2 linked regions of the Struthio camelus genome follow. The main gene of each other region encodes a partner of the protein of the gene in region 2 in a complex. Links are inferred from orthologs where the notes say so. Each region holds a gene or a part of one and is shown on either strand. Other genes may lie near its edges. The genes, in order: INTS12 and INTS2.

Region 1 (10,076 bases), on a different chromosome or scaffold from region 2:
AGAAGGAGCAGCTCCATCTTCTCAGTCACCTCCTCTTAGGTATACAGAGGCTGCTATTAGGTCCCCCAAGGCCCATGATAGATGACATCCACCACTCTCCCCTCATCTTTAAATCTAGTTATATTTTGTCACAGAAAACAATACCGTTGGTCAGGCACAACCTGCCCTCGGTAAATCCAAGCTGGCTATTCCCAGTCACCATCACCTCCTTCTTATGCCCAGAAATGCCTTCCCAGAGGACTTCTTCCATTATCCTCCCAGGGACGTAAAGCAGTGAGGCTGACCAACCTGTAGTTCCTTGGATTGTCCTTCTTGCCCTTTATGAAGACGGATGCAAGATTTGCCTTTCTACAGTCTCCGGGAATCTCCTCCAGTCTCCATGACCCTTCAAGAAGGGCAGAATGGGGTTTTGCAAAGATACTGTCAGCTCTCTTGGATCCCTTGAGTGCAGCTCATCTGGTCCCATGGTCTCGTACAGGTCACGTTTTCATGTCAGGCAATTCTTGCTTCAATCTTCTTCCACAACTGGTAGTTCCTCTTCACCCTGAGGCCTGCCTTGTGGCAAAAAGGCCTAGGAGACCTTGTCAGTGAAGTCTGAGACAAAGATGACACTGACTACCTCAACCTTATCTGCGTCTGCTGTCGCTAAATGACCTGTCCCATTCAGCAAGAGCACCACATTTTCCCAGTGTATCCTTTTCCTGATAATGCAGCAGCAGCAGCAGCTTGTCACCATTCACATCTTTTGCCAGGTTCAGCTCAAGTTTCCCTTTGGCTTCCTAATGCCATACCCACGTGCCCAGACAATATTCCTGTAGTCCTCCTTCGTAGCTTGTTTCTGCTTCTGCCTCCTGGATACGCCTGTTTTGCTTCAGAGTTCTGTCCCGAGCTCCCCAATTAGTCAATCCAATCCTCTGCTTTGCCTGCATGTTTTCCTAAGTATTGGGATGGACTGTTCCTGTGCTTGGAAGAGGACTGTCCTTAAATACCAGTTATCTCCCTGAGCTCCTTTGCCCTTCAGAGTTGTCTCCCATGGCATCTCACCTGCTGTTCCCTGAAGAAGTCAAAGTCTGCTCTCTTGAAGCACAGCTTTATTCTGCTACTCACCCTCCTCACTCCCCTCAGGAGCCTGAACTCCACTATTTCATAGTTACTACAGCCAAGGTTGCCATTGATTATCATGTTTCCAGTCAGTTCTTCCTTGCTCATGAACTGCAGATTCAGGAGACCACATCCCCAGGCTGGCCAATCCGTTGGTCCATACTGGTGTTAAGATGTTACTCTCAGCTCACCCTAAAAATCTCCTGGAGTGCTTGCATCCCACTGCACTGCCCTCCGAGCAAATAGTGGGGAGGGTCTGTGATGTGGACACTTCCTCAACTTACTTAAAGAAGAAATCATGCATCATTTTCTCTGGATCAAGTGGTCTATAACAGACTCCCACGATGTTGTCACCCTTACTGGCTCCTCCTCTGCTCCTGACCCACAAGTTCTCGTGGTGACTGTCCCCCATATTCCACCAAAGAGTTCCATGCATCCATGCTGCTCCTTCCCCCAACAGGCAACCCTACACACACTATTCTTCCTGCGCATCTTTCCCAGGCAGCCTGTCTCCGTGTATCACAGAACTCCAGTCGCGCAAGCCATCCCATCACATGTCAGTAACTGAATCGTTTCATAGGTCTGTGACCGCACATAGCCTGTTTCCTCAGCTGCCTATACTCAATTCAGGCTTTGCAGTCTCTGAAGCTGCCTTTGACTGAGCCACTTCCTCCCCCTCAGCTACCAGAGCACTGTATCTATTCTGTAAATGAAGATCCAGGGTGGAAGAGGGCATTTTGGTAACATTATAATTTTGTTAGTGGTTTAGTCATTTAAGTTACTTCAGAATTTGGATAGACTGAATGTAATTGACTTCACGTTTTTCTTTTCTAATCTGAGAATCTAGACAGTTCCTCAGCCTTTAATAAGTAAATCTAAAGCATGTATCTTCCTACCTTTAGATAATTTATTTTTTGTAAAAAAAAAAAAAAAATTGATTAAGAGGAAAATAATCCCATTTTTTCCTGCACTACCCTCAGCCTCTTGAGCTGGATTCTGCACAGCTTACTGGTCTAGCAAGTCAACATCTCTCTTGCCACCTTCCCAACCCTGATACAATACCATATTTGTTTTTTTATCCAGCTAATTGCTGTTCAAGTATAATTCCAGCCATCTTTAATATCAGATTTGATTTTTATTCACATTCTTTTCTTATGATCCACTATTTTTTTTCAGATAGCCACCTGAAATAAAGTGCACAGATAAAAGAGGATACAGACTTAATCCTGTGCATATCCCAGTCTAGTAAGACTCTTTGAGCCTAAAGTTCACAGAGAGAGATTATCCACCAGAGCTATCTGCAAAACAGTGGAAACTTAAAAGAAATATTCTATTTGATTAAAAAAATCAAAACAATTAATTTAAAAAACAAATATAAAAGAGGTGACAGAACAATAGCGTACAGAATTCACTTGGGATAGAGAAGATCCCCTGCGTCAACTCCTACTTATACATATAATTAATTCAAACATAAGTTTCTCACAGCCCTTTCGAGTGGTGTTATCCTAAGCCCATTTATTGTTCAAAAGCAAGTTAACACGTCTTTGGTTCCAAGTACAGGTTCTATGTTAGATTGGAATTCCACACATGATGTTTCATCAGTTACCCTTCTAAAAAAGGTTTTTGTTCTGATAAAGCTATGCTGCCACACAAATGGTTTTGTCAAAACCAAGTAAATGAGATAATCGTACCTATGCAACCGAGATTTGCTAACCCCTACTACCACAAAGCTTCAGAGCTCTGCAAAAATGGACCTAAAAACACTGTTTAAATAGGTGCCACTGCTTATTAGTTTAAATCACTAGCAAATTATTACCTCTCTTCATTATCTTTTTCACCCCTTCCTAGTTCAAATGATTTGCTTACTGAAACTCATTAGGTGTGCAAATGCCCTAGATATCATTTTCCTGGTGATTTCCAGGTGGAAGCTGCAAATTTTAGTCAAAACTGAATTTTTGGGTCAGTTACACCAAAGCCACAACCCCACACTCTGCAGCATATTTGCTGCAAGTTTCCCTTCTTATTTCCTTTAAGAATGAATAAAGGCTTCTTATTTAAAAACTCTTTTTTAAAGAAAATAAAAGCTCTCTATGCCTCCATATGCTGCAGTCCAAAAAAATAACTTACAATTTCGGCTGAAATGCATACGTCTTGTAAAATAGGGCATACATGAGCTCTATTTGCTTGGTCTGTTCCTTCCCGTCCCCAGCGGTGGCTCCGTGTGCTCTGTGCTATTGAGCTGAGCCCAGGGCAAGTCCCCACCACAAAGAAAGAGATGAACCCCTCTGCCTAATTACAGCGCTAACAACGCAATCAGCTGACACTAAACTCTAGTGCCTTGACTTGAACACCCAGCTAAGAGAGACTAAAGAGAGAGAGAAACACAGCTCAGAGTGCTACGACTAGAGGTGGAAAGCGTCTGCTAAACTCACTGCCCTGAGAAGAGCGGCCCGAAAGGCAGCTCCGGGGCTGGGGGCACCCTGCCACACCCGCTACCACCAGGATTGAACCGGTCCTGGAGCCCCGGCAACGAGCGCGCCGCTGCGGAGGAGGGGGGGGGGTGCAACTGCCCGCAACCGCTTCAAACTCTTTTCCAACCGCCATCGCCGACAGGGCCACCCCTCCCCCCACGCCGGCACCAGCCGCCCCTCGAGCCGCAGAGTAACGGTCAGAGGGGTCTCGTGCTCTCCCAGCCCCCTCACCAGGTGCCCTCTCCCTTACCTGCGGGCCGGCACGGCACGGCCGGGCACGAGCGAACGGGTGACTGAGGGCGTCCACCGAGACCACCACCACCACTACCTCCCGCCCGCCCCCCCGGCTCAGCCTCCAAGCCGCGTCCGTCGCCTTTCGCGTCCCCCCGCGCAACGAGAGCCCCGAGGCGGCGGGTTCCGGTCGTGCCCGCGTGGAGGAGGGAGGGAGGGAGGGAGGAAGACAACCGGAGCGGGCGCTCGCGCAGGAAGGGGCGGGGCCAGGGCGGAAGCGGCTGGGCGACGTGCGGGACAGGGTAAGCGGCCGTTGGCGCCCGCCTCGCGCGCCGGGCCCGGAGCCGTTGGGGATTGAGGGGGGGCGGTCTCCACGCGACCGTTACTGGCGGCGGGAAGAGGCCGGGGGTGGTGGCGACGGAGGGAGAACGGGCGCCGGGTATCGGCGCGCCGCCTTCGGCAGCCCGGCGTTTGCCGCCTCCTCCCCTCACGGCTCGCTGACCGCGAAGCGCGGCGCCTGCCCGTGCCCTCGTTGCCGTTAGCTTTCTGTTTCCTGAGCGAGGTTTGGCTGGAAACTGGCGGTCGAGGCGTTTATTGGTGAAGAGCACTAATAACTGATGAAGGAAAAGACACCTGTAGTCTTCCTCATCTGGCAGTTGGGGGACTCTTCTTTAAGCTTTTCTCCATCTGCCGCCCCCCCCCCCCAAACCACCAAAAAAAGCTGGAGTCTGGTTTTCAGTGATTCTCCGTGTCTGAACACTTGGTCTGCTTTTTCTGGACTGACAGACTGCTGAGTGAAGGTCGCAGTGCAGGCTTTATGTCATCGTTCCGCAAAGGAATTTTTACTCAGTGGCATTATTTTCTGCAATAATTGAACTTTAGTGTGCTGCCTTGCTAAGGTTTGTCTTGTATTCTTCATACTTTACTTTGCTGAAATACATATATTTTTTATTGGTATACTAGTCTGAAATTCAGATGCCTCTCTATTTCTCTCTGGTTTGAAAATCATACAGTTATTTGGATTCACTTGAGGATATAACGGTAGCCCTAAAGTTTACAAGCAAATTGGTCTGGTGAACAGACATCTAATTCAGATTTGCAAAGTTATCTCTCTTAAAGCACAAATACTGTTTTCTGTTAAGCTAAATATTTGTTAGAGGAAACTATGTCTTTAAATGACTTGCAACATCAAACACTTCACAAACATTACTGTCTCTATTTTAAAAAAACCTTTTGTTTTCCTATAGAATAATCAACAAATAAACAAGGTCCTTTTCAGGAACTAAAAGGAAGTGAATGTTTGTGTTTTGTGTGTGTGGGTTTTTTTAGTTTTTCATTTATATTTCCTGGAAACAGTTTTTTTTAAACACTTTTCTGTACTATATCACTAGCGTGATAGCTCAGTAAAACTAATTTAGCTGGAATTTAGTGCCTGTAGAGAGAGAAACAGAAATGGTAACAAACAATATTACTAGTGAAAAATAAGCATGATTAATAGATATTAAGCAGCTCAACATGATTGTTACACTAAATGTAGACAAAAAACTTTTTTCTTGTCTTTAAAGTATGTTGCAAATACTGTGATGTTTGTTATTTTTGTCCAGCTGACTTCTTCATTTCACAATATCAATAGCAGCTACTGTAAATATGAGTAATATAGCATACAAGTCCATCTCTTCCCACACTCTTCCTTCTCTAATTAAACTGTAAAACGTGTGGGAAGAGGCATTACCATCAAGACAGTGAACAATCTGATATCCTGTAAGTTTTGTTAGTGCTATGTTTTGTTTTATTGTGAATGTCTGGGTGTTTCTCTCTCAGTAAGCTGCCAGTGGATCCTTAAATTAACCACCTTTAACAGCAGGGTGGCAGTCATATACATACTTTCAAAGGAAAGGCTGTGCTTAAACACAGAAGTAAGATGTACCCTGCAGAGCCAAAATAGTGGGGAAAAACAACTAAATTTGAAGAAGGAGGGGGAAGGTAAAAACCCAGGCTTTATAAAGATCTGTGCTTAGGGATAGGCTGTTAGTATCTAAACTAAAAGATGGGAGTGGGTTGACATATGGTAGTGCAAGCGTGTACAGTTGGTTGAAGTGATTATGCAAGAAGGGCTTGAGTACATTTGCACAAGGGACAATTGAAAGAAACGCAGGTAAGTCATTTATAGATAGAACTCCCAGAGAGATTTATTTTGCTTTCTTTTCTGTAAAAGACTTGTTTGGAACAAAATTAACCTAGTTGTAGTTTATATTATATTTATAGACTGAACTTCAAAATCCACAAGGGAATCCCTTAAGGAAAATGTCAATTGCTCTAGGACACGTTCCCTGTGTGACATTGAGTTAAAAACTCCCCTTGTGCTTCAGCCTTTTCTCTTACATAACGGAAATTCAGGAACCTTTGTCCTTACGAGGCTATTGGGAGGCAAGTCCCAGTGATGAGGTAGCATTTTTTTTTTAACTTTATTGGTATACCTATCTGAAATTCTGATGTTATGATGATGAGGCATAAACATTTTTACAGTAACTAACTGTATAAATAAATCCAAATCAAATGTTCTGCTGCTCTATTGAAATAAGTGTGTTTATATAACGATTCACAGTCATTACAGAAGCACATTTTGTTTAAAAATGCTTTTAGAAGTTTTAGGGTTATTGGAAATTATCAGAAGTATAAAAGCAATAGCGTCAGTGCTGAAAAGCTCAGCGCAGAAAGCAGAGTGACATTTTTTGCCACTAGTCCTCCCTATCTTTTAGTCTGAAAAAGCCTGCCTGTTTTTTGGTCTTGATCTGAAAAGTACATAACTTACAACATCCACTTCTCTTCCAGTTTGCTAAGAAACTGCAAACTTTTCTCCAAAGCAGTGAAAGAACAAAATTTAAATTGACACAAAAGTTAAGGAAAAAAATACTAGTAAGCATCATATTCGATTAACCATTTTTAGTATATGGTTGCAATAAGGGGAGAAGATTCAGTGCTTCCTGTGGGAGCTAGTGAAGAGTTATTACTGTGATCTACTCATGAATGAGACAATAGATATCAGTGGTGTCTATGCAGTGTTGAACTGCATGTATGGATTAGGACAAACTTCAGAACTTGGGCTTTTCTAACAATGGTGACGCGTGCTGTTCTTTTATTTTAACCGTACACAGCAAAACTTGTTACCAGGGCAAAAGCCACGTTTCTGGTATTAGCTAATGTGGATGATGAAAACTTTGATGAGCTCTGAAGTATCTTTGTTGTAATATTTAAATAACAGTGCCTTTATCTTGATAATTCTAGAAAATGAAGTGATTAAATGGGGTAGAGGAAAATCTTTTATTTAAACCATTACCAGGAACAGAGGATAGGGACCCTTTGAACATAGCAGGTGGCTTTGCATTGGTCACTATCTGTCTGAGACTGGAAAAGAAAATTTCCTAAATAGATGCTTGAGGTAATGTTACCGAACTAACTTTTTGTGTCTAAAAGGTTTTTGATGTCTAGAGAAATAAGAGCAAGAGAAACCTGGATTAATCTAAATCTCCTAACTTAAAGATGAATTACAAACAAAAACCCGTAAGTTACCAAGCTAGGTTTATCATTTGACAGTTGCACAGACTATGGAACTTAGAGGTCAGAAATTACACTGCCCATCTCGAGGTAACTGTTTGTGAAAAGTAAAGGCAAGAGAACTTTTAGTACTGCTTTCTGAAGTTGAAAGTGTATTAGAGAGGGACACCTGCATTTATAATTCAGAGATAGGTAAAAGGTGACTTACAAAAGGTTTCCTCAACTGTTGAGCTCTAGCTGTTTTTCTAATTGCTTCCTTTGTGGGGTAACACCTGCAGAATTTATGAGATGCAGTGCAGGTGGAGAAAGAGCAGGAGGCAAAATGGTCCTTTTTAAGGGGCTGGATGTGTGGAAGAAAAGGGAGGGAAATCATCAGCTATACTTGATGCAGTTCTGGGAAAGTGAGAGGAAAAAGATCTAGATGATAAAATGATTGTGAGTTCACAAGCTGCGAGTTCAAGAGATAGGAGAATAAGTGTTAAATACATGCAATATCCTTGGGACTATATAGGAAAAAAAATCCCAGTGTTTCTTTGTGAAGATGAATGATCTCATAAGATAGAAACAGAATAGTAGAATACGAGAATGAAATAAATAATTTTCTGTGTGTAATGTGTTCAGAGTGAAATGATGCATATGTGGCTTTTGTGTAGCTTGAAATGGTAAAAGAGGCAGGGTCTGATTGTGATTATAATAGCATAAGAATGAAGTACTCTTTCTGCCAGTGAGGATAATATTCCATGGACTAGCTGTTCAAGCCTCAAGCCACTTTCAACTATTTCAGGAGACCTCTGGGCCTGAAACGGAGTAGAAAGGAGAGAGTCGCTACGAGTTGTGCTTGTAGTTGCAGCTTCCTTATTTCTTACGGTTGTCGCTCTCTTTGGACCTTTCCAGGTGCAGACTTGGGAGACTGAGTCGCAGATCAACAGCTACTTTAATTGTTATGTAGTCTAATCTTGTTCTGAGGAGGAGTACGCTACGTAGATAAGTACCTTCAGCAGTGAAATGTTGAAAAATTGCTATTTTCAGTTAGATGAAACAAAGAAGTGAAGAGTTAAGTGCGAGTATTGGGAAGAGAAAAGTGAAGCAAGCCTCAACAAATTGACAAGTGAATCTTAACCCTCATAAAATCAATAGGCAGAGTTTTAAAAAGACTTAGTTTCAGAGTTTTAAAAACACTTAGTTTGACATTTAAGCCTGAGTTCTTATGAATTTGGTGTGCTTGTTCAGGCTTCCTTGGAATTTACATGCAAATTGTTTGACAGCTGTGAAAGAGAAGTGTTCCTAGACCACTATGCTGGGAAGAGCAAAGGAGGAGGGAAACAGCTGGAGGGTGCAAACCGAAGCTTCGAGCCCAACGTTTTCTCTGTGTCCCTGCTGAGTGAAGCTCATCACTTCATCCCTGGGAGGGTAGCTGCAGAAACAGAAAAGTGTTATTGTCCTAAATGGACCCTAATTAAGAACATAATTTGTTCCACTCCACAGAATAGGTTTAATAATTCAGATCTAAATTAACTTTCTCAGCAGCAGAACAGGGAGTGCAGTTCTGAGAAACGACCTTCATTGTAGTACTGCTAATCTGAGAAGAGAAAGGGACGTTGGTTTAAAAAAAAAAAAAAGAGAGACTGGGACTATAGCTGAAAATAATGGAACTTTATATTGCAATTATGTCTCCAAGTCAGACTTCTCAAGTACTTGCAGGATCAGGGCCTTTTAGTTGAGAGACATCTGATTGCCTATAGGAATCAAAATGAAAAGGTATCATGGCACTACTGGAGAGAGTCCAGCGGACGGCTGCAAAGATGATCAGGGGACTGGAGCATCTCTCCTATGAAGAAAGACTGCAAGAGCTGGGCCTGTTCAGCCTGGAGAAGAGAAGATTGAGGCGATCTCATAAACGTGTACAAGTATCTGAAGGGGGAGTGTCAAGAGGATGAGGCCAGCCTCTTCTCCGTGGTGCCCAGCGACAGGACAAGAGGCAATGGGCAGAAACTGAACCACAGGCAGTTCCATCTGAGCATGAGAAAAAACTTCTTCACTGTGAGGGTGACAGAGCACTGGAACAGGTTGCCCAGAGAGGTAGTGGAGTCTCCTTCGCTGGAGAGATTCAAAACCCGTCTGGATGTGATCCTGGGCAATATGCTCTAGGTGACCCTGCTTGAGCAGGGAGGTTGGACTAGATGATCTCCAGAGGTCCCTTCCAACCTAAACCATTCTGTGATTCTGTATCATATAAATGATGAAATGACAAGTTGGTTTGTGAGGGTCTGGAAATCATTTGAGTGTGTAAGTCCTTATTCTCAAATTTAGGGCCTGGTCTTGTGAAATGATTAATGTTCTTAACTCCTTTTGAAAACAAAAGAAATGAGACATTTGTATCTATCATGAAGAGAGCTAGAGTTTACTTCCTGCTCTGGAGCTTACTGTGCTTCAGGTATAACATATTACATTTGTTTGCATTTTTTCATAAATTACCAGTTTACTCTTGGTTTGTAATTAGTTCAGAATAAATGACTGGAATGATTAATTATTGCTGTATTGTTACTGTTGCATTTTATTTATGTGATTCCTTAAAAGGAAGTTGTCATAATATTGACCATCTTAATCTTTGACTTTCTTCTTCCTCCTCCCATGTGTGGAGAGTCTAGCTAACTGAAACAGCTATCTTGGCTTAAAAATACTACATATGAAAACATGATCTAAAAAGTTTTGAATGCT
Region 2 (10,203 bases):
CCTCTCTCTGCATAGTTACATAGTATTTGCTCTCTCTACACTACAGCGATAAAGAAACTTTAATCAGCTGGCAATTCCAGCCCTGGGCACACGAGAAGTGTCTCCCTCAGCACTAAAAATGGCACATCCTGCCAATAACGGCTCAAGGACACAATGACATTAGGAGAGAGCTTACGTTAAAATTGCCCAAAGATCCCAACCTCTGTTTAAATTGGACAGACAGCGAAAAAAAACATAGAGCATTAAAACATTCATTACTTCAGCCCAGCAATTCCCATCAAAGCGCAATAGAGACGTAACAATGCGCTGGCTTTCACAACATGTTCTTCCTTCAGTCCCGAGTACACAGACACATTTGGCTCCATATCAACATCTGCTTCTTCAACAATGTGTGTGCTGCGAACCGTGGGAAGGATTCCCATGAGCTCCAGGAGCAGCTGCCTTCTCATTTGCCAAAGCACAGAACTGATATTATCTCTTTTTCTCTGAGAGGTTAAAAGATGAAAACAACAATATAAACCTCATGTCATCAGACGTTTTATTACATAAAAGCTTCCATAATGACAAAGACAAGAAAAAAAGAATGGGGAGGGGGGGCATTTTTTAATAAAATTTTCAGTACCAGGGTAACAGGTAACACACGATCATGTTACAATGGTTTATTTCAATGAAACACAAGCTTTAAGCAAGTCAAGACACAATTTTCCCTTGCAAATACTGAGCACAAACACATATACCAGCTAAACATTACTGATTTATGATTCCCTCGTTTCCATGGCTATTGGATCACGTACCTAAAAATCTCTCAGAGGAACAATGACATAGCTGTCTTCAGTAATACTATGTAGAGATCTGATGGTCCCATTTGCCTTGTAAAGGCTGTGGCAAGAAGCAACATAGGAGCTATGCACTTTCAGACAAATGTGCACGCCCACATCCAGACAAGTTACAGCAGCTTACAAAAATAGTTTTTGAAAGCGAATATTCAAAAGCGTACCTACCTGTTGGCCATTTCGGATAAAAGTTCCAAACCAAGTCCGAACCTTAGCATTTGTTCCAAGTAGCAAACCACTCACAAAACACACCAGATCGCTCACTCCATCATCTGAAGATTCATTTTTGGTGTGATCCAGGGTCAAAGCAACACCAAGACCTGGTAGATGACACTCTTCCACCTAGACAAAATAGCCGAGCTCAATCTTTTTTTTTTGTTTTTTAATGCTCCAATAAGGATCACAATTATGATTTGCGTGTTGTCTCGTGATAGAACAATTACAGACTTACCACCATGCCTCTGACCCTTAAAGCTTGGGAAGGGTTCATTTTACACAGGTGACGAAGTGCTTCTGTTCTACGACGGCCTCCAACACTTTCCTCATCCTGCCGCTCGCCGTTCTTAATCAAACCTCTACAGACTAAACATTCGAGAGGAGGTCTAAGTAAATCTGGCCTTTCCAGCAGAAAGCCACGTAAACATATAAACACAAGACGAGCCCTTTCATTCAGCGGACTGTGATTTATTAACTGAGCCACACGAACCTTGTGCCAGGGAAGAACTGTTGATCAACGCTGTATCAGTAGAATAAGGAAACGGTGTTTCTCCTCAGAGAAATTATAGGGTCATTACAGATTTAGGCATCATTCAATTACTGCTCATACTCTGTCTAACGCAACCTGTGCACCTGGCAGCCCTGCAGACTGAAGTCTTCTTGCTACATAAGTGATAATAAATGGGCAACGGCAGTATGAATTTTTCACCTCATAACATGCCTCGCTCTGAGAGACAAGGACAATTAGCAAGGACAGACCAGGTTCCTAGACCCAATCATTCACTGTCTGAATCAGCCTTTATAAAGGTGACCTACAGATGAAAAACTGCAACAGGCACACAATGAGTCTGAAGTACGCTGCAGAAATAGGTAGTGAATGCGATGAGAACGAGAGGCCTTTCAGCATCTCTAAGTATAAATGCATCCAAAGTGCATTTCACAAGCCAAGCGCTCCTCAGTTCAAATATTTATGCTGCTTAGCCTAGAATCAATTTGATTGCTGGAAATTATTTCAAAGCTTTACAAAAAGAAAGCTTGGCAAGAAGAAACTGTAACTCACCCTCGTTAAAACTATCGGGAACATTGGCCACTAGGAGGCACAGGAACCAGGCTCCATTTTTAACGTGCAACAGAGCTTCAGCTACATCAACTATGGGCAACAGCGATGGCAGCTCTGGATAAAAAGAGGATCTCATAAGTCACTGTAAAACAGTAGCTTTTAATATAAATTTATGTAACGTGCTCAAGTTAACGAATGAAAGATTACTCTTTGGTCTATTCCTCTTCCAAAGAGCTAGACATCCAACATTAATCTTAATTCAGCTAGGAGAGCTCCAAAAGTTAGGGTAATTTTTTTTTTACGTTTGTAAGTAGCGAAGTCACAAGCAAAACAGCATTAAGGAAAGCACTATAAATACAGAGCACTACACCTGCTTGCAGAATGCAGAGAACATCTGCTGCTTCCTCCAGATAGACAGGACTCTCGAAGAGCTCGGACGATTTGAGAAAAAACTCACCGTTTGATTCTGACACCTATAAGACAACGTTCATCATCACAGAACAGGTTTCATGAAGTGATTTGTATAACTCAATCAGCACCTGTCAGACTTTCAGAGCTTTGAATTCAACAGATTGAACGTATTAAAAACTGTCAAAAATGTACAGCTATAAACAGAACAGGCAAGCAAAAATGCTTAGAACAAGCAATATTTACTAGTAAAGATAATTAAACACCGCTGGTATCGTTGCTTCTTTCCGGAAAACAGAAAAACAGCTTACTAAGAAGTCTATAAACAGGGTAAGTTTAACAGAAGAACATAAAACACAGAGAAAAGTGAGAAACGTGGTGGTGCATATTACTGCAATAGCAGTAAAAAAAAAAAAAAAAAGGACAGAAGGAAAAGCTACAACATCATCCTGAAACATGATTTCTGCTCTTATAAGCCATCGCATTGTATTTAAGTGCAGCATGTTATAGAACGTACAGAGCCTGTTAAGAAAAGATTGCCCTCCTTGCCGGGAGGAAGAAAGACTTTCTCTGGGAAGCTGGGTTCACGAGGAGTTTACGTGACAGAGTTTAAGTCTCGGCGAAGCAGCTACGGACCGGAGAACGGCCCTGACACGCACCGGCAGCACCAGCAACGCAACCTGGCGTTATTTCAGCACATCCCGCCTGCAGCTTTCTGGTTCTTCGCTTTCAGGGATATAAAATTCACAAACGCCGAGCGACGGGGAAGCGAAATTTTACCTTATTCATAATTGCTAGTAATTCACTAAGCACAAGACGAAGCCGACGAGGCGAATCACTGTGCTCAAACTCCAGCGTCAGACCGTGCTGGAGCTGCGACACCAAGACGCTCTCTCCACTGCCTCCTCCCAGCTTGTGTCTAACAGACAACGGAAACGCAACGACAACCGTTAAAGAACAAACAAACGAGCCCGACGAGCACAGACACCTCCTCAGCTAAAGGCAGACCGCAATTCCCGGGGCAGCGCCCGCCGCGCCGTTACCGCAGCTGCTGCTCCTTGCTGGCGTCCTGCTCCAGGGCGTGGAAGTCCACCGAGAGCAAGGCCACGATGGAGTTGACGGCCTCCACGCCCGAGAGGAGCCGCAGGATGAGCTTCTTGTCCTGCGCCCAGCGCTGGCTCTGGTCGGCGGGGGCGCACAGCGCCATGCGCACCAGGCAGGGCAGCAGCAGCCGCAGCTCGGGGTCGCTCAGCGCCGCCAGCCGCACCACGTCCACCTTCTGCATGGCCTCGAAGGCGTAGGGGCTCACGAACTGCAGGCCGGAGCACTCCGCCATGGCGGCGCCCGGCCCCGCGGCGGCGACCGGCCACGCTCCACGGCCGCCGGCCACCGCCGCCTTCCGGCGCGCGCCGCCCGCGTCACCGCCGGAAGTGAGGTCGGCCCCGCGGCGGGCGGCCGTTGGGCGGCCGGGTGCGCGCGCGCGCGCCGCCGGCGGGAAGGCCGCTCTGAAGGGAGGGGGGAGGGGACGGCGCCCCCCCCCTCCCCCGGACGTCTGCTCGGCCCCCGCCGTAAATAAAGAGACAGCGCAAGCAAGGCTTCATGAATAATTTATTCCATTTGAAATTTTTTTTTAAAAAGTATAAACCTTTTCTCTCTCTCTCTCTCTCTCTCCATTTCCTCAATCACAATTTGTACAACTCAGCGTTTATGGCATTCGGCAGCAATAGCGTTTGTTCCTCAGTCACGTTTTGTCACGATAAAGGCGACGGCTCGGACCAGTAACCGTCAGCGCCGTGTGCGAACTTAAGAAGGGCCCCGGTAACGCGACCCGGCTGCGGGGGGGCGCGTCCAGGACCGAGGCGACAGGCTGCAGCCGGCTCCGCCAGCTCCTGACATCCAGTTTACTCGGGAACAGCGAGAGCTAGACGAGTAACTTCCTGAAAAGTGACCCTGAGGATTATGGTAGGTCCCAAATCCAGTTTTGCTGTAAATTTAAGTTTTACTCCGCTAAAAAAACAGGATGTACAGCGCCCACAGCGCCCCCACCACTCTTCCTCCCCCCACACCACCACCCCGGAATAGTCCTGGATCCTTTTAATTAAGGACAAAAAAAACCTTCCCCAGTGCAGGTTGTCAAGACAGTAGTGTCATACGCTATCACCTAATTCAGAAAACAAATTCTCAAAAGAAACCCAGTCCAAACATTGTTTATGCAGCATTACTATTAAAACAGACTGATATGCTGTGCCATACCGTTACGCAGCAAATTATATGATGCAATAGCATTTTAAAAACATTTTACTCTTATTTTTGAAAGCTTTAAAATAGTGTAACATATTTTGATATTACAGTATTAACAAATAGTGCTTGAATAAAGACATCTGCAAGTCTTCATAGCAACACATGAAGTTAAAAATTACCATAGGAGGTAAATACAGAAATACAGTAACCTGCGCCATACTGACAGCTAAGTAAGAACATAGCTGAGGATTTAAATATAAATTCATTTATTTTTACTTATTTCCGGAAACGTTAGGAAGATTAACATGTTACAGCTACTTTAAAATTTGAGGGTTGTTTGCAAGTACAGTTGGTGGCCTGCCAGTCTAGCAACAATGCTTACAGAAACCTAATTCAAATAACAGTATAAGTCACAGTCCAGATGACTGCATGGCTTAAGCACAGTATAACTAAATTAAAATACTTTTTTTTTTTTTTTTTTAAATCTGAACTGAAGGATCTCAGATGCATCTTTCACTGGCTATCTAACATACGTAAGTAGCTGTATAAGTTTATTTCCTCTTAATAGAGCACTGCCAGGAACAATGTTTTCTTGCAAAACCATTTTGAGAAGCTAGGGCTGAAATGTTCAAATACATTAAGCTTGTACTTGCTAAACAACCCTAATTATTGGATTGTGACAATTTTATTCATAAATCACTAATTATGTGCCCTTAAAAGAGGAAAATGGCTAAGTGAATGAAACCAACAAAAAAGCACGCCCAATGTAGTAGCTGGCTCCATGGGGATGGCAGTTTTGATATGCACATTGCTGGCTGTGACCATCACTTCCAAAAATGGCCCTCCTGATCTTTTCTAGTGGTTACAATATGACAGTTTACTTAAACTGCATTTGGGGACATGGGGAGGGGGGAGGGGAGAGGCAGACTTCACAGTTGGAGTTTCACAGGGAAGGTTGTGGTCCAGATAACAGAGTACAGTTATACCAATGCTCAGGCAGCCGATTCACTTACCTTTATGGATACAAGTCAGATTTAACAAAACGAAACAAAAAAGACACGTGCTCTGAAAACTCCAGTTTTAGATGCACTTTTCCCCTTAATCTCAGCCAAATGAGAAAGAAAACACCTGCTCTAAAACAGAAGTGTGCTGTTTAATCTGCAGTACATTATCATTATATCAAGAAAAAGTAATGGACAGACCCAGGTTTTTACCTTTAATATCAAAATATGCTGACTTCTGATTGCACTCATGTTTTTTCTGAAGAAACTACTGAAAATTTTTGTCACCAATTGTACAACTTCTTTATACAAAAACAAAAAAAGTCGCTAATTTTGCATATACACAATTCAAGGAAAAATGATCTCAGGCAAATATTTTGCATTTACAAAACATAATTTTCACCAACATAATAAGTTTTGTAAATACAAGTGATTTCTTCGTTGTAGAGGATTAACAGTGGGTGCCCCAATGTATCTTAAAACTTGCTCCTTTCAAGATTTAAGCAGGCAAGATGAACAGTACTGAGACCCAGGTGATAAACTAGCATGGGTTCTCTCAACAGGCTCACGTGGGCACTGCAGGAGTAAGTCTTTACCCTGGCAGTCAGAAGATGAGGAACCAAAGGAAAAAAAAAAAAAATGCTGTTGCTCCTCAGCACCCGTAGGGGCCATTTTAGAGCAGCATCAGACATTTGGCATGTGCTGAGAGAATGGAAGGAAACTACTGAGGAAAAAGGGCGACTGTAGATAGAGGGAGAGGTTTACAAAAGCCTTATAACTCACGAGACCCTTCCTTAGGGAGGGCTAAGCCTCCTTGGCACATGCCCCAGCCGGAGTCTGAAAAGGGGATAAGGGGAAGGCCATGCACTGATACTCGAGACCTTCACCTCCGTGCCAAAATACATGAAAAAGGAAAACATTCAGGGTTGTGTTTTGCTTTTTACTAGTGGAATAAAGTCTGAATACCAGAATTCACTGAGAATCTATATACACCACATTTTAGTTAAACACACACCAATCTTAAAGTCAAGATTGACTATTTTTTTCATTTGTAAAATGGCTAGAGCTGGGCTAAATTTCAGCCTTGCAGGAGACTTTGGATAAGGTCAGAGTTTTCTGTGTCTGTGTGTTCCGACTCAGATTTGTGTTTTGCCACAAACGTGAAAGAAAATAGTGCAGTCACCACGGTGCCAAGAATATCCAGGTAACAACAATGCACAATAGATATCCTTGCAATAGTAAAACTTGTCTACTGGAAACAGATCTGAGAATCTAGCCACAGCCCTGAACCATAACACAAACTTCAGTTGAAGAGTTTATTCATTTTATTCTCACTACAAGTTAAACCACCTACAATATCACTTATATATTGCCATTGTTACTCTGTAAAGGTGTGATATAAAATGCTGTAAGACCCGGTACCTTTTCAATTTTATATAAACACAGTGAACTTCATTACTGTACATGTACTCTGCAACTACAGCTTAGCTGTAAATCCCCCACACACAATGGTATGGACATTAACCCCTCTATCCCCATTAAACTGTACATCAAGACAATACAAATTTACTGTCCCCACCCACCCCCTTACAAAAAAATAATACTCTAAAAGCAACCTACTGCAACTTTTAATTAAGACGATTACATATATTTTAGACCAATTGCTTTAAAGCAAGAAGGCAGTATAAACCTTCTAGGAAAATTTTTATAAAAGAGGTTAAGAAATATAAGACAATTTATACATTTAAAAACTTACAATAAATAAGAGATGCAGGCATTTTTTGAATACTAGGTACTATAATCCAATACAAGAACATCTTGATGTTCTGAAGCCATAGGTTGAAACTTATTGTTCCTCCTGTTTCTTCTCATCTCCATGCTTTAAAATTCATTAACCATGACTGGGTACTATGGCTCATTACTCTTCACAAATACTGTGACTGGGGAAAAATGGTTAATTTTGCTACTAAAAATGTTATAATACACATTCTGATCATCATTCTAAAGAGTCCCCCAGAGTCATTGCATCAAAGACAGTAGGGTTATAGATGCCCTTCTCACAAGCCAAAGCAATATTTGCTGGAAGTAACAAGATTCATACCCCATCACAAACAACTTGCACTGAGAAGAATTTATAACTTAGTCCTGCAGTGAAATATCCCTTTTCCTCATTCTTGTCTTTCAAAATTCAGATGAAGATCACAGCATATTCATGATAAAGTTATACAACTGATTCAGCACCACAAAATGAACTGGGAGACATGACCGTCTGTCCTGGGTTGCAGGATCACAGGTTAGCCAGGAGAGTGCATTGTACTGTTCCAGAACAAACCTAGAAAGCAAACAAGCTTCCATCAAGCCAACAGATTTTCCCACCACTGTTTTCAAGAAGGCATTTTATAGTCCTAATTTAATAAAAATCCAGTTTCTTTAGTACTGAACACACAAAATAGTTTTGCCAACATTCTGAAATAACATGCTCTCAGAACTATTACAGCAGGTCAAAGCTAAACCTTTTTTTTATTCTCAGTGAAAAACTGCCATTTTAATTGTTGATGCTTAACTAATATCAGGAGACTTGCATATGAAAATAAAAATCTAGAGACGTCCGACTTTTTCCTCATCAACACGTGTCCCATTTTTTCATGGGTCTACTCTTTTCTGCTTCAGCACTTCACTGTTCCCACAACCCATGCAAGATTCTGGCTTAACAACTTCATCTATAATCTTCTTCCATTCGTTTATGCACCATCTTCGATGTTACACCTCAAACTCCCTTCTAGCTGGAGGAATTCATTGTCTTTCAAATATTTTCAGTTGTAATCAACATTAGTTTAAAAAGGGCTTTGAGATGTTTTAGGGTTTTTCTTTTTTCTTTTTTTTTTAATTGCACTGGGATAAAGCCATCTTTTAATCACTCAAAGCACAGTAATTTACAATGTGTCTATGTGAAGTACTTAAGTATTTATCAGCAGCACAAAAAAGAAAACTTAATAGCAAGAAAAATAAATAAATATGTAACTTTACAACAGCAGTATGAAAAATGACATGCAGAATATTTTTGTAAGTGATCAATCATAAATACCTGAGCACATCAGAAGTTTGATTAGAATCAAGTGGATGGGAGTGTTTACTGTGGAGTAGCTCGTCTGATTGCACTGAAGGCACGTGGAGGTGCAAAGAGGCCTAAGAAAGGAAGAGGAAACGCTAGCAGTTACTACTTGATTCTACTACAACATACTTTTCCCCCTATATTGTTGGTCTGTACCTTTCAGCCACTTTCTATTGTGTGACACGCAAGCCAAACCATGTTTTAACCTTATACAGTTAACAAGCACCGGAATTATCAGAATATGAGGAAATGCACTCATAAAAGCAGAGTGCTAATAGCATAACATATCTTAGGAAACATTTATTTTTAAATCCCTTTGCCTACATTAAGTGATTATTTAAAAATAAATTAAAAAGTGACCCAAGTGGCCCAAGATTTCTAGTAATATATGAACTTTAAAGTTCAGTTGCTTTCCATAAGACCAGTCTATTTACATTCCATAAATAGAGCTACTTAAGCTAAATAATAAATCTTCCTTAAAAAAAAAAAAAAGAAAAAAAAAGAAAAAAAAGTCCTATACCAAAAACACAGTTGAGCTTAGGCCAAGAGGCACCACTAATCCAGACACAAATAAGGCTGAAGAAAGTAGATCAGTATCGTTAGATAACATAGTATTAGAGATGTTACATTAAGTCAAGAATTAATAATGCCAATGCGCAAAGTTTCTCTGTATACTAATGTACAGCTTTAAGTTTGCCAACTCTGCCTTGATTGTACCATAAAAAGATAAGGAGATCAGACAATATGCAGACAGATGGGGGCAATGACTATCACTTGGAAACAACCAACATTGAAAATCTAGCTTTTATGCTTTAATGCAATACATAAACAGAGATTATTTTTACCCAGTGTAAATGTGATATTACATTATACTTGTGTACTTCCTCTACCATCAGTTCCAAAGGGAGTCAAACATTAACCAGTGAGTTTCTGGCCAGAAAGGCAAGAGAACACCTATCCTTACGAAATACCACAGCATAAAGCCGGTAAGAAAAAGGAGACCAGGCTACTACGAAGAAATCATCAGAAGGAGCAGAACCCATTAGAGCATTTGCTACTTCAGCTAATAACGTTTCTCCACTTTAAAAGTGACTATAAAAAGCCTTTGGCTCAAAAATTTAAAACCCAACTTCTCTATTAAAGCAAAAACACGCATATTCTGAGGGACATGTACCAAATTTGTTTTAAACATAATGATGACCTAATTCTCATTATTCAGATCCTTGCACACCACACAATTATCTATTTCACACTGTCCAGGAAGATGTTTGTTGTACAGACTGCTGAGGTTACAGTACCTTAAGAAACAAGGGACACTGATTTTGTGCTTGA

Evidence for each region.
Region 1: INTS2 (region 2) and INTS12 share a complex: the UniProt entries of both Homo sapiens proteins name them as parts of the integrator complex. The link is inferred for Struthio camelus from reciprocal best matches to the Homo sapiens genes INTS2 and INTS12.

What each region holds. Positions count from the first base shown.
Region 1 is NC_090945.1:26,090,927-26,101,002, reverse strand, and holds the start of INTS12 (integrator complex subunit 12), read right to left. Parts: upstream 4,066-10,076; 5' UTR 3,823-4,065; intron 1-3,822. UniProt on the Homo sapiens protein: Component of the integrator complex, a multiprotein complex that terminates RNA polymerase II (Pol II) transcription in the promoter-proximal region of genes.
Region 2 is NC_090957.1:18,829,434-18,839,636, reverse strand, and holds the start of INTS2 (integrator complex subunit 2), read right to left. Parts: upstream 3,950-10,203; 5' UTR 3,854-3,949; coding exon 3,561-3,853; intron 3,437-3,560; coding exon 3,298-3,436; intron 2,583-3,297; coding exon 2,480-2,582; intron 2,224-2,479; coding exon 2,110-2,223; intron 1,416-2,109; coding exon 1,285-1,415; intron 1,176-1,284; coding exon 1,002-1,175; intron 486-1,001; coding exon 259-485; intron 1-258. Other genes in the region: MED13 (mediator of RNA polymerase II transcription subunit 13), read right to left, coding at 7,959-8,091, 8,845-8,945, 10,170-10,203. UniProt on the Homo sapiens protein: Component of the integrator complex, a multiprotein complex that terminates RNA polymerase II (Pol II) transcription in the promoter-proximal region of genes.